2 linked regions of the Anolis sagrei genome follow. The main gene of each other region encodes a partner of the protein of the gene in region 2 in a complex. Links are inferred from orthologs where the notes say so. Each region holds a gene or a part of one and is shown on either strand. Other genes may lie near its edges.

Region 1 (6,955 bases), on a different chromosome or scaffold from region 2:
ACCCACTTAAAAGTTAAAGTTTGTATGCGGCGGAAGTGTGGCGGTGCGACAGGGTATGTGCCAGCGTTCTGATTGGCTGCCACTGTGGTGCTATTTGCATATGGTTTTTTGATTGGCCAGATTCAAGAGGAGCCCCTGGTGGAGAAAAGGGTTCATGACAGAAACGGAGACATGAGAGAAGGAAATTTGCATATTGTCTCTGATTGGCCAGCCTCAATTCCAAGATTCCGAGATGACAAAGAGAGGAAAGGAAAAGGCCAGGGGCTGGGTCAGAAAATTACCAATACAGACCAAACTTGGCACACAAAGCCCCCATGACCCACTCTACATCCTACTGCAGTTTGGAGGAGGATGAACCATGGATGATGGGACTTGCAGTACCATCACTCACATTCTGAGACCGCTGTTAACCTCATCCAATGACTGATCAGGACCAAACTTGGCACATAGACCTCTCATGACCCATTTTACGTCCTGGTGTGGTTTGGCCGGGGATAGACCATGGATTATTGGACTTGCAGTACCTTTGCTCAATTTTTGAGACCACTGCAACCCTCATCCAATTACCGATAAAGACCAGACTTGGCACACTGAGTCTCCATGATGCACTCTACGTCCTGGTGCAGTTTGGAGAAGAATGCACCATGGATGATGGGACTTGCAATACCTGCACTCCCTTCCTAAGACCATTACAACTGCCTACAATGATGGATCGGGACCACAATTCACACAGAGAGCCCGCATGACCCACTCTACATCCTGGTGTGGTTTGGAAGAATTTGGCAATGGATGATGGGACTTGCAGTCACTTCACTCACTTTCTGAGACCACTGAGACCCTCGCCAATGGCTGATCAAGACCAAACTTGGCACACAGAGTCCCCATGACCCACTCTACATACTGGTGCACTTTTGAGGAGGACAGACCATGGATGATGATGGGATTTCAAGTACCTCCACTCCCCAAGACTGCTGCAAAACTCATCTAATGACCAATCAAGACCAAACTTAGCACACAGAGCCCCCATGACCCACTCTACATCCTGCTGCAGTTTGAAGGAGGATGGTTTTTGGATGATGGGACTTGCAGTACCTTCACTCACTTACTGAAACCACAGCCACCCTCATCCAATGACTGATCAAGATCAAACTTGGCACACAGAGTCCCCATGACCCACTCTACATCCTGGTGCACTTTCGAGGACAGACCATGGATGATGGGACTTCAATTACCTCCACTCCCTTCCCAAGACTGCTGCAACCGTCATCTAATGTCTGATCAAGACCGAACTTGGCACACAGAGCTGCCATGACCCACTCCACTGTTTGGAGGAGGATGGACGATGGATGATGGGACTTCCAGTACCTTCACTCACTTCCTGAAACCACAGCAACACTTATCCAAATACCAAGAAAGAACTTGGCAAACTTTGGCCAACTGAACATTCTGATGAGGTTTGGGGGAGAACAGACTTTGGAGGAGGATGTGACTTGCAGTACCTAAACTCATTAACCATTTCTTAAGATTGGCTCTGCATCTCGTGGTGCCAGAGCGCAGTCTGTTCAGCGCCTTCCAAGTCGCCCAGTCTTCTGTGTGCCCAGGGGGGAGTCTCTCACCTGGTATCCCCCACAGAATGAGGTGCTGGGTTTGAGCCTGCCACTTTTGAACTCTTGCTTGCTGAGGTGTACCAGCGAGTATCTCTGTAGATCTAAGAAAACTATTTTTTGATTTGAGTCGTTGACGTGCTGGCTGATACCCAAACAAGGGATGAGCTGGAGATGTCTCTGCCTTGGTCCTTTCACAATCCAATGATTGATCAAGAACAAAACTTGGCACACAGAGCCCCCACGACCCACTCTCCATTCTGGTGCAATTTGGAGGAGGATGGACCACAGATGATGGGATTCGCAGTACCTTCACTAACTTCCTAAGATCACTGCGAGCCATATAAATAACTGATAAAGACCAACCTTGAGACACAATTCCTTTCTCAAATAACACCAAGCTAGTTTTTAATAAATCCGTGTTGACTATTAGCAATGACTGCATTTGTTTCTAAGTGTTTGCAGACCTATTCCTTAACATTTTTTTCCAGAATCTTGCCTGGTATCGACGTGATCTTCCTTTTCCCTCCTTCTTCCCTTTCTGTTTTCCCCTTTCCTCCATCCCCAAAGGGATCCAGGCAAAGAACGCCTTTGGGGGAAAAGAGAATAGAAAGCGGTGCAGTTTTCGGCCATGGCCACACGATGGCAGCAAAGGGCCGTGGCGGGTGAATGAAGAGGGGGCTGCACTTCCCGATGTGTCCACTGGGCGGCCAAGGCAAAGGGATCACCCTGGAGCCCCAAAGGAAACCCAGAGGCGCTCGCTCACAGGCCTGTAGCGAGGGGGGGGGGGGGGGTTGGGGGTTCAACCCCCCCCTGAAATGTTTCAGATTTTTTTTAAAAAAACCTGGTTTACTCATGAATTTTAACTGGTTAACCAAATCCCCCTGCTAAGTCTATGAGATGCAAAAAATTCAGAGTCCCTCCAGAACTGCAAGCACTATCTCAGGTAAATATTGACAATTTATTCACACTGTCATTACTTGCAGCAATAGCCGATGTAGCGAAGCATCCAAGTTGGGGGGGGGGGAGGTTGTTGAATGCTCTCATTAAGGAGGCCAGACTTGGTGGAGGTGGTTGACAGGGGCGGAGCTGCAGGCTATGGAAGACTGCTCTGCCCCCTGCTGTGCTCTTTGCGGGGATTGTGGCGCAGCTGGCTGAGTGTCAGCTGCATTAAGATCACTCTGACCAAAAGGTCATGAGTTCGAAGCCAGCCCGGGTTGGAGTGGGTTTCCAACCAATTGTGTGTAGCCTGTTGTCGACCTTTGCAACCCGAAAGACAGTTGCATCTGTCAAGTAGGAAAATTAGGTACCACCTTAAAGTGTGGGGAGGCTAAATAAAGAAGACTCTGGCAAAGCATTCCAGCGGGGAAGATAAAGGTAAAGGTAGTCCCCTGACATTAAGCCCAGTCATGTCTGACTCTGGAGTGTGGTGCTCATCTCCATTTCTAAGCCGAAGAGCCAGCGTTGTCCGTAGACACTCCAAGGTCATGTGGCCAGCATGACCGCCGTTACCTTCCCGCCGGAGCGGTACCTATTGATCTACTCACATTTCCATGTTTTCGAACTGCTAGGTTGGCAGAAGCTAGGGCTGACAGCGGAAGCTCACGCCGCTCCCCGGAATTGAACCTGCGACCTTTCGATCAACAAGCTCAGCAGCTCAGTGCTTTAACCGACTGAGCCACCGGGGGCTCCTCCAGCGGGGAAGTGTGCGGGGAATGTGGAAGTGCTTCCTCAGCGTCGCAGATGGACGATGAAAGCGACATCTCCCCTGGCGGCCAGAAAAAGTTAAATAGCCTCTGTGTATGTCTGTATATGTTTGTATGTCAAAATTGACATTGAATGTTTGCCATATATGTGTACACTGTAATCCGCCCTGAGTCCCCTGCGGGGTGAGAAAGGCGGAATATAAAAGCTGTAAATGAATAAATAACATAAATAGAAGGCAGGTTTCAACCCCTCCCCCCCCCCCCCAAATTTCAACCCCTCCCGAAAAATTTTTCTGGCTACGGCCCTGCTCGCTCGTCTTTCTCTTTTTAAACTACATTTAAATCTCCTTGTCTGCTCTCTCTTTCAAAAAATACGGGGCCATGTTTGAATTTTCCTTTCAGGGAGTCTCTCTGGTAGGATTTTTCCGTCAGGCACCACAATAGCCGACTAAGCGTGCTTCGCTGTGCATTGTGGGCCTCGTGCTTGGCTTTGGCGCGAAGGCGCTCTGGCGCGCGTTGCATGGTGGGAAGGCGGCGCTTCTCCCCTTGAGCCGGATCTTCTTCCAAGCCGAACAAGGGGGAAAATAGAGGAGAATCGCTGCGCGCGTCTTTCCTAGGCCTCGGCCTCGAGTGGCGAGTAATCGAAAGGGGAGCGTAAGGAAAACGTTTGCAAGCGGAGGGACTTCTTTTTTCTCTTGCGCATGCGCAATTGGAAAGGCGGAGGCATCTGAGGAGAAAGCGTGAGAGAGTGACGTCACGGCGCGCGCGCGCGAGACTGAGAGGATCCTTGCGCGAGGCAGGTAGAGCCGCCATTTTGTGTCGCTCTGAGGGAAGGCGCGTCCGAGGCGGATCCCTCCCAGTCGACTGGGCCCGGCGCCTGCCTGCATCCCTCCTTCGCTTTCTCAGGCCCCGTTCTTGCTTCCCCTCTCTCCCTCTTTCTTTCCTTTCTTTCTTTCCCTCGCTCGCTCCCTCCCTTCCTCTCCCCGCTGCGGGGCCCTTCTCGCCGGCCTTCCCTTTCTCCACGAGCCTCGGCCCCCGCCAACCGCAGCCATTGCCGACCTCGCCATGTCAGGCGGCGGCGTGATCCGCGGCCCGGCCGGGAACAACGACTGCCGCATCTACGTGGGCAACCTGCCGCCGGACATCCGCACCAAGGACATCGAGGACGTCTTCTACAAGTACGGCGCCATCCGGGACATCGACCTCAAGAACCGCCGCGGGGGGCCGCCCTTCGCCTTCGTCGAGTTCGAGGACCCCAGGTGAGGAGCCCCCGCCCCCCCCCCCATTATGTCAAGTCTGGACTGCACAATTCAACCCCTACCAACAGATGGCCACCCAACTTCAGAATCAGAGTTGGAAGAGGCCCTCAAAGGCCATCCTGCCCAGCCCTTCATGGCAAAGGATAGTATAATTCAAGCCCTATCAGCAGATGGCTGTCCATTCTTCGATTCAGAGACTCCCACAGTGGAAAGGGGCCCCCAAAGGCCATCCAGTCCAGCCCTTTATGTCAAGGGACAGTGCAATCCAAGTCCTGCCAACAGAGGGATATCCAGCCTCTAGCTAGATCATATACTCCTAGAGCTGGAAGGGACCCTCAAAGGCCATCCTGCCCAGCCCTTCATGGCAAAGGATAGTATAATTCAAGCCCTATCAACAGATGGCTGTCCATTCTTCGATTCAGAGACTCCCACAGTTGAAAGGGGTCCCCAAAGACTATCCAGTCCAGCCCTTATGTCAAGGGACAGTGCAATCCAAGTCCTGCCAACAGAAGGACATTCAGCCTCTAGCTCAGTGGTTCTTGTCATGCGTTAGCATGAATCATAGAATCAAAGAGTTGGAAGAGACCTCATGGGCCATCCAGTCCAACCCCATTCTGCCAACCCCACTCTGCCAAGAAGCAGGAATATTGCATTCAAAGCACCCCTGGCAGATGCCCACCAGCCTCTGTTTTAAAGCCTCCAAAGAAGGAGCCTCCACAACACCAGGGCAGAGAGTTCCACTGCTGAACAGCTCTCACAGTCAGGAAGTTCTTCCTCGTGTTCAGGCGGAATCTCCTTTATTGTACATTGTATTGTTTGAAGCCATTGCTCCATTGCAGCCTAGTCTCCAGGACATCAGAAAACAAGCTCCCTCCCTCCTCTCTGTGACTTCCTCTCACGCATTTATACATGGCTATCATGTCTCCTCTCAGCCTTCTCTTCTTCAGGCTAAACATGCCCAGCTCTTTAAGCCGCTCCTCATAGGGTTTGTTCTCCTGAGTAGCATGCAGACTGACTCTAGCCCAGTTAACTGTGTGTGTGATGAAATTACTCATAAAAGAAAAACACACGAGACTTCGGCTTAAAGTAGAAAAGAAAAATATTGTAGTATTGGCAGCATACAAAAACAAAATAGCAGGATTACTGTTTCCACAAAAGTAACATGAAACAATATCTTCTGAGAGATATCATTACTCAGCTGAGATAAACAGGAATCCTTGTCCTCTTCTCATGGCTGTGTCTTCGCAGGACATCTGCAGCATAGTCCCCGGCTTACACAAAGCAGAACGGCACAGAGGCATAGATGCACAATAGCATAAACGCACAATGGCAAAGAACTAAACACACAGTAGCTATCTTTATACACATGAAAATAACACTCAATTAACTCTTCAATTAACTGAAACAGCTGTAGCACAAACAGCCTTGAACCTTACAGCAACTTAAAGTTATAGCACAAACAACACTGATCCTTACAACAACTTAGATAAAGTACGTTGCAATCTCTTAGTAGCAACAGTTCTCAACCTGGGGGTCAGGACCCCTGGAGGGGTCACAAGGGAGTGTCAGAGGGGTCACGAAGATCACCGGAAAACACAGTATTTTCTGTTGGTCATGGGGGTTTATGTGGGAAGTTTGGCCCAATTCTGTCGTTGGTGGGGTTCAGAATGCTCTTTGATTGTAGGTGAACTACAAATCCCAGCAACTACAACTCCCAAAATGTCAAGGACTATTTTCCCCAAACTCCACCAGTGTTCACATTTGGGCATATGGAGTATTCGTGCCAAGTTTGGTCCAGATCCATCATTGTTTGAGTGCACAGTGCTTTCTAAATGAAGGTGAACTACAACTCCAAAACTCAAAGTCAATGCCCACCAAACCCTTCCAGTATTTTCTGTTGCCCATGGGAGTTCTGTGTGCCAAGTGTGGTTCAATTCCATCATTGGTAGAGTTCAGAATACTCTTTGATTCCAGGTGAACTACAAATCCCAGCAACTACAACTCCCAAATGAGAGAATCAAGTCACCCCTCCCCCAACTCGTATTCAAATTTGGGCGTATTGGGTATTTGTGCCAAATTTGGTCCAGTGAATGAAAAACACATCCTGCATATCAGATATATACATTACGATTGATAACAGTAGCAAAATGACAGTTATGAAGTAGGAAGGAAAATAATTTTACGGTTGGAGGTCACCACAACATGCAGAATTGTATTAAGGGGTCACAGCATGAGAAAGGTCGAGAAGCTAGATCATATACTCCTAGGGTTGGAAGGGACCCTCAAATGCCATTTGGTCCAGCCCTTTATGTCAAGGTCTCCCATGACCTTCTGGCAAACAAACTAGTCCAATGTGGGCTTGGCAAAACTACGGTGAGGTGGATCT
Region 2 (6,997 bases):
GACAACTGACATAGATCTCTTTAACTCAGCCTTGAATGAGAGCACTGGCCTGGTAGCCATAAGATATCAAGAAGGGCACACTCGTGTGTCTAGAATTTCATATAAGCAAGCAACAAAAGGACTCTAGGAAGAAACCCATCATAGAAATTCAGACCTTGGTCTCTCCTCACCCAGCAAGATCTTTTTATTTTGCAGGCTAGTAACCTCTATTCCTTACTTCAGAGTCTGCTCTAGTTGTAACCCCATTATTAGGTTTTTAATTATTCCTACAACAAAGCTAAAACAAAGACTAAATACTCTAAAGACACCAGAACATGTCTGATCTTGGAAGTTAAGCAGGGTCAGCCCTATGTGGTACTTGGATGGGAGATCACCAAGGAATTAACAGGCGCTGTAGACTATATTTCAGATTAAAGAACTGGGGGAAAAAACAATCTCTGAATTGGTTTTGCTTAAAACCTTATGAAATTCATGAGGTTGCCAGAAATCAACAGACAACATGAAGGCCCATGCACACACACATGGTGCTTCTTCTGAGAATAAAAACATCCTTCTTCTCCTACTGTTTAGTTTCTGTGAAGTATAAGGAAAATGAAATACTGCCTGACAATTCTGATTCATCTAATTGAGATGTTTCCTTCATCATACAAACATATCCTCTCTGAAACTTCACCAAGCTTGAGAATTTTCTCTTAAAGTTTTAAAACTCAACCAGAAAAAAATGTGAATGTAGAGGTTTAAGTTACTCAAACTAAATTCTAAGCATAAGGTTGAGAGCATTGAGCTCTCTCATTTATGAAGCTACACAAGGCAGCACCGTGTAATATATATATTTATTTATTTATTTAATTGATATCCTGCTTTCTGCTTTTAGACAGAACTCAAAGCACCTCTCGCCCCCACTCAATCTATCAGCAGGACTCCATGGGGTTAGCCTATTTTTAAACAGTATTCTTAAAGGAGAGCTACTAGTCATAATCCTTGATAGAACAAAATTAAGTGGGTGGTGGGAGAGAAGAGAGCAAAAGTATAAATCACCATTTTAAAACTAAGCCCAGCAGGGGAAGGTATGCAATCACCCAATCCGGGCGCACGTGTTTACCACCCATTGAGAGTGCTTTGGCCTACAAGTGAACTGCAAGCAAACGCTCTCTCTATATTTATCACATAGTGAGTGAGCAAAGTCCTGGATGAGCTACAAGAGAGGGATTCCCTTGCTCTAGCTCCCTGTATGCCTGATCATCAACTTCCTAGATTACAATAGGGATTTTTTTTTAAAAAAGGAGGTGATCTGATCCCAAGCAGAAGTTCTTCTTTCAACAAAAGGAGCCACCTGGGAGGGAGCCAGGACTCCTAGTGAAAGGAGAGAGCACCAGCCAGCTCCACATGGCAAGGGCCAGACCATGTGCGCCTGGAGGGAGCTCACTCAACTAGCTTCTCCCCAAAAGCAACCCCCCTTCTCTCCTTTAAAGAAAGGGAAGCGGAAGAGGAGACTGGGGCCCCCTTCCACACAACCCAGAATATGAAGGCAGAAAATCCCACAATATCTGCTTTGAACTGGGTTATCTGAATCCACACTGCCATATATTCAAGTTTAAAGCAGATAAGGTGGGATTTTATTCAGCTGTGTGGAAGGGGCCTGGGAATCCACCCCCAGCACACCCAAATGGCTGGTAATATACTGCTAATAAAGTCAAGAGTACTAGCATGCCTTTCTGGAAAGACAGAGTGAATCTATTCTACACACTGTAGAACTAAGGCAATTCGACAGGACTCTCCCTACTATGGAATCACGGGAGTTGTAGTTTTACAAGGTTTTGAAGCTTTCTTTTCCAAAAACTGCTGGTGCCTCAACAAAACTACAACTCCCGCCACCCCATAATAAGGAGCCATGGCAGTTAAAAGTGGGGCGGTCAAAGGGCAATACTTCTACAGTATGGAGGCATGCTCTCTCTCTCTTCCACACACAGAGCTCTTATGAAAACTACAACTCTCAGGATTCCATAGAGTTCAGCCAGGGAGGGTCAAACTGTATTATTTCGCCCACGTGGGGACACACTCCCCATACACCAGAGGTTCTCAACCTGTGGGTCCCCAGATGTTTTGGCCTTCAACTCTCAGCAAACATCTGGTAAACTGGCTGGGATTTCTGGGAGTTGTAAGCTAAAACACTTGAAGACCCATAGGTTGAGAACCACTGGTTTAGGACACAAAGGCCTTATCAAAACTACAACTCCCAGGATTCCGTGGCAGGTAAAAAGTGAGGCCAACTGAAGTTATTCGACAGTCTGGAGGCGCCCCCTCTACACATACACACAAAGACCTTGTGGAACTACAACTCCCAGGATTCCACAGGAGTCAAAGTGGGCTTCTTCTTCAGTGTAGCAAGGAGAGGGTTGAACACGTGAAGAGCGCGCCATGTGCGGCCGAGTCGTCCAACCCTTCCTCCTTCCTTCCTTCTTTCTCTCTTCTCCAAGGACAACTGGGCTTTCGAGGAAGGACCCATCGAGGATTATGGTGTGAGGGGGCTTAAAACACACGCAGACAGTGTATCTGTATCTCATTCTTCCTGGAGTTGAAAGGAGCCCAACTTGGCGGGTCGTGGGCCGCCTCGGGTTCCTCTTGGAGGGAGGGAGAGAGAGACTGTTTCCCCGCCTTGCCGCCATTCCCTTCGCCCTCCTCCCCCTCCCCCTCCTCGGCCAAACTCCCAGGATCCCAGAGCCTCGGGCCCAGGCCGCGCCCCCCACCGGCAGGCAGGCACTCACGGTTGGCGATCTCTCCCCCCATCTTGTACTTGTTCACCACCACGTCTTCCGCGATCGTCAGCTCGGACGTCTCCTCCTCGCCCGACATGGTCGGACCCTCAGCCGCCTCTCTCTCTCCCTCCTCTGCCTGCCTGCTCGGAGGGAGTCCACCTCACCGCCGCCGCCGCCTCTGCCTCTGTTTCGTCTCCTCCTCACGGCGCGCGCGACAACCAGACAGGCGGCCAGCCAGCGCGCGGGCTTTGCGCGCGGCACGCTGGGAAGCCAGCCCGCCGCCTTCAGCTCACAAGGGACTACAGGTCCCGTCAGGGGCCGCGGCAGCGCAAAGGGTGCCGGGAAGAGAAAAAGAACCCACAACCCTTACAATGCCACGAAAGGGAAGCGCCTCCTGTCAAGCCCCGTGCCTGCCACCTAAAGGCTTCTGGTGGAACTGCAGGCAGAGTTACTTGGCTTTGAGGGCCCTTCTTCCATACTCAATACTAATCCATACTAATCAAGGTGAAAGAAGAAAGCGAAAAAGCTGGCTTGCAGTTAAACATCAAAAAACCAAGATTGTGGCAACAAGAATGATTGACAACTGGGAAATAGAGGGAGAAAACATGGAGGCCGTGGCGGACTTTGTATTTCTAGGTGCAAAGATTACAGCCAACGCAGACTGCAGCCAGGAAATCAGGAGACGCTTCTTGGGAGGAGAGCAATGTCCAATCTTGTTTAAATAGTGAAGAGTAGAGACATCACACTGGCAATGAAGATCCACATAGTCAAAGCAGCGGTGTTCCCCATAGTAACCTACGGATGTGAGTTGTTGTTCATTCGTTCAGTCGTTTCCGACTCTTCGTGACCTCATGGACCAGCCCACGCCAGAGCTCCCTGTCGGCCGTTACCACCCCCAGCTCCCTCAAGGTCAGTCCAGTCACTTCAAGGATGCCATCCATCCATCTTGCCCTTGGTCGGCCCCTCTTCCTTTTGCCTTCCACTTTCCCCAGCATAATTGTCTTCTCTAGGCTTTCCTGTCTCCTCATGATGTGGCCAAAGTACTTCAACTTTGTCTCTAGTATCTTTCCCTCCAGTGAGCAGTCAGGCTTTATTTCCTGGAGGATGGACTGGTTGGATCTTCTCGCAGTCCAAGGCACTCTCAGCACTTTCCTCCAACACCACAGCTCAAAAGCATCGATCTTCCTTCGCTCAGGCTTCCCTAAGGTCCAGCTCTCACATCCATAGGTGACTACAGGGAATACCATGGCTTTGACTAGGCGGATCTTTGTTGCCAGTCTGATGTCTCTACTCTTCACTATTTTATCGAGATTGGACATTGCTCTCCTCCCAAGAAGTAAGCGTCTTCTGATTTCCTGGCCACAGTCTGCATCTGCAGTAATCTTTGCACCTAGAAATACAAAGTCTGTCACGGCCTCCACGGTTTCTCCCTCTATTTTCCAGTTGTCAATCATTCTTGCTGCCATAATCTTGGTTTTTTTGATGTTTAGCTGCAACCCGGCTTTTGCGCTTTCTTCTTTCACGGATGTGAGAGCTGGACCTTACTTCTTTCTTTCTTTATTTGGTTTACTTTTACCCTGCCCTTCTCACCCCGAAGGGGACTCAGGGCGGCTTACACATCCAAGGCACAATTCGATGCCCGTAACATACCACAGCAATAAAACAAATAACACAATTTAACAATCGACAACAATACATTACATCTATACCCGTTAAAACCAATAAAACCCTTGGGGAAGGCTGAGCAAAGGAAGATAGATGCTTTTGAACTGTAGTGTTGGAGGAAAGTGCTGAGAGTGCCTTGGACTGCGAGAAGATCCAACCAGTCCATACTTCAGGAAATAAAGCCTGACTGCTCATTGGAGGGAAGGATAGTAGAGGCCAAGATGACGTACTTTGGCCACATCATGAGGAGACAGCAAAGCTTAGAGAAGACAATTATGCTGAGGAAAATGGAAGGAAAAAGGAAGAGGGGCCAAACAAGAGCAAGATGGATGGATGGTATCCTTTAAGTGACTGGATTGACCTTGAAGGAGCTGGGGGTGGTGACGGCTGATAGGGAGCTCTGGCGTGGACTGGTCCATGAGGTCACGAAGAGTCGGAAACGACTGAACGAATGAACAACAACAACTTCCATACTGCATAGGTTGTGGGACTCAACTCATAGTTAAAGCAATGTTATTCCCCGTGGTGGTGGTGGTATGGGCATACCAAATCCCCTTGCCTCTCTCCTGAGGAATCTGTATAAGGACCACGTAGCAACAGTCAGAACTGTAACGCCCTTCGGGGTGAGAAGGGTGGCATATAAATGTCGTCTATATAAATAAAAATGTAATGTTGGTTTGTAGGGTTAACAGAACTCAAAAACCACTGGATGAATTGACACCAAATTTGGACCCAAGACACCTAACAACCCAATCTATGTCCTTCACTCAAAAAAATTGATTTTGTCATTTGGGAGTTGTAGTTGCTGGGATTTATAGTTCACCTACAATCAAAGAGCATTCTGAACTCAACCAATGATGGAATTGAATCAAATAATAATAAACTGTACAGTGCAAGGTATACTCAAAAGAGCAGAACCTCAAAGACGCAGCATAATAATAATAATTATTATTAAGCTGTGCCTTTAAGGCTCTTCTCTTTTGAGTACACCTTGCGCTGTAGAGTTCATGGAGTTTGACTGTCAGGCTCAATGCTGTGGAATCCTGGGAGTTGTCCTTTTACAGAGCCTTTGTGTGTGTCGGCAAGAGAGAGTGCATCTATATTGTTGAATTAATGCAGTTTGATACCACTTCCATGGCCGTGGCTCAATTCACTTTTTTTAATCATGTCAGAAGCGACTTGTGGCTCAATGCAGTGGATTCCTGGGAGTTGTAATTTGGTGAGGGACCAGCACTCTGGGGCAGAGATTATTAAAGTTCCTGTAAAACTACAACTCCCACAATTCCATCTCTTTTAATACATCTACACTGTAAAAGTAAGGCACTGTGACCCAACATGAACTGCTATGAGTCAGTGCTAACCATAGATGTTGTTGTTTGATAATGCACCAGAGAAGGCTGAAGAGCTTGTGAAACTATAACTCCCATGATTCCATATAATCAAGCCATTGCAGTTAAAGACTTGTCAAACTATTAATTCTACAGTGTGGATGCAGCATTGAGACTATGGTCCCTTCTACACTGCCATATAAAATCTGCTTTGCACTGGATTATATGGCAGTGTAGACGCAGATAATCCAAAACAGATAATGTGGATTATCTGCTTTGATAATGGCTGTGTAGAAGGTGCCTAAATTCATTCTGATCTGATTTTTTCCCCAACAGACCAGTTTGCTGGAAGTTAATGATGGATTCATGGAGTAGGTTCACACAGGAACTGGCACTGCAGGTTGATCCAGAATAGTGGCTTCATAGCCACGAATGCAAATGCTGACGAAAGATTGTGGCTTGAAATAGTGTGAAAGATCCACCTGCCTCCCACACTGTTTATCTGCCTATAGTGTGTATCTACAGTAGAATTCATGCACTTTGCCACCAGTTTAACTACCATGGCTCGATGCTATGGGATTGTAGGAGTTGTATCAGTCTTTGACAGGGAAGGCTAAAGACCTTGTAAAAGTCACTCAAGGCCAAGTATGATTGTCTTCTAAAGGTAGAGTCTTGGCTGTGGGTCTGTAAGTGACTGTGGAGACCTATCCTGAATCTACATGGTCTTTTCCAATGAGAACATCGATTTCTAGATGGAAGAAAAGTCCCAACAAGGGCTTGTTTGATGTATCTGTCTTTCAGCAGGCTTCTCCCTTTCTCCCTCTATTTGTGCCTCTTCAAAATCCACAGCACTGTTGGTAACAGCTGACCTCCTCTTACAGTGCTTAAGGGTCAGGGCTTCCCAATTTTCAGAGATTTGCAGGATTTTTCGAAGGCAACACTGATGGAATCTTTCTAGAAGTCGAGTGACATTTGTCACTCCATGTCTCGCAGACACACAATAGAGTTGGAAGGACAATAGCTTTATAAACATGCATCTTGGTATCCCTACTAATGCCCTGATCTTTAAACATTATCTGCTTAATTTGAATAAAATGCTGCACTCACAGAGCTCAGACGGTGTTGTATTTCGGCATCAATGACTGCTTTTGTGGAGAGGTGGCTGCAAATGGAAGCCGAAATTGTCATTTTTTAAAGCTTTACACCATTAATCTTTATTGCTGGCATTGCAGAAGGATTGGTTGGTGC

The links. Proteins that work in one complex are often made in the same cells at the same time.
Region 1: PA2G4 (region 2) and SRSF1 share a complex: the UniProt entries of both Homo sapiens proteins name them as parts of the ribonucleoprotein complex. The link is inferred for Anolis sagrei from reciprocal best matches to the Homo sapiens genes PA2G4 and SRSF1.

Annotation. Positions count from the first base shown.
Region 1 is NC_090031.1:19,485,774-19,492,728, forward strand, and holds the start of SRSF1 (serine/arginine-rich splicing factor 1), read left to right. Parts: upstream 1-3,875; 5' UTR 3,876-4,375; coding exon 4,376-4,569; intron 4,570-6,955. UniProt on the Homo sapiens protein: Plays a role in preventing exon skipping, ensuring the accuracy of splicing and regulating alternative splicing.
Region 2 is NC_090022.1:146,812,566-146,819,562, reverse strand, and holds the start of PA2G4 (proliferation-associated protein 2G4), read right to left. Parts: upstream 3,054-6,997; 5' UTR 2,854-3,053; coding exon 2,766-2,853; intron 1-2,765. UniProt on the Homo sapiens protein: May play a role in a ERBB3-regulated signal transduction pathway. Seems be involved in growth regulation. Acts a corepressor of the androgen receptor (AR) and is regulated by the ERBB3 ligand neuregulin-1/heregulin (HRG).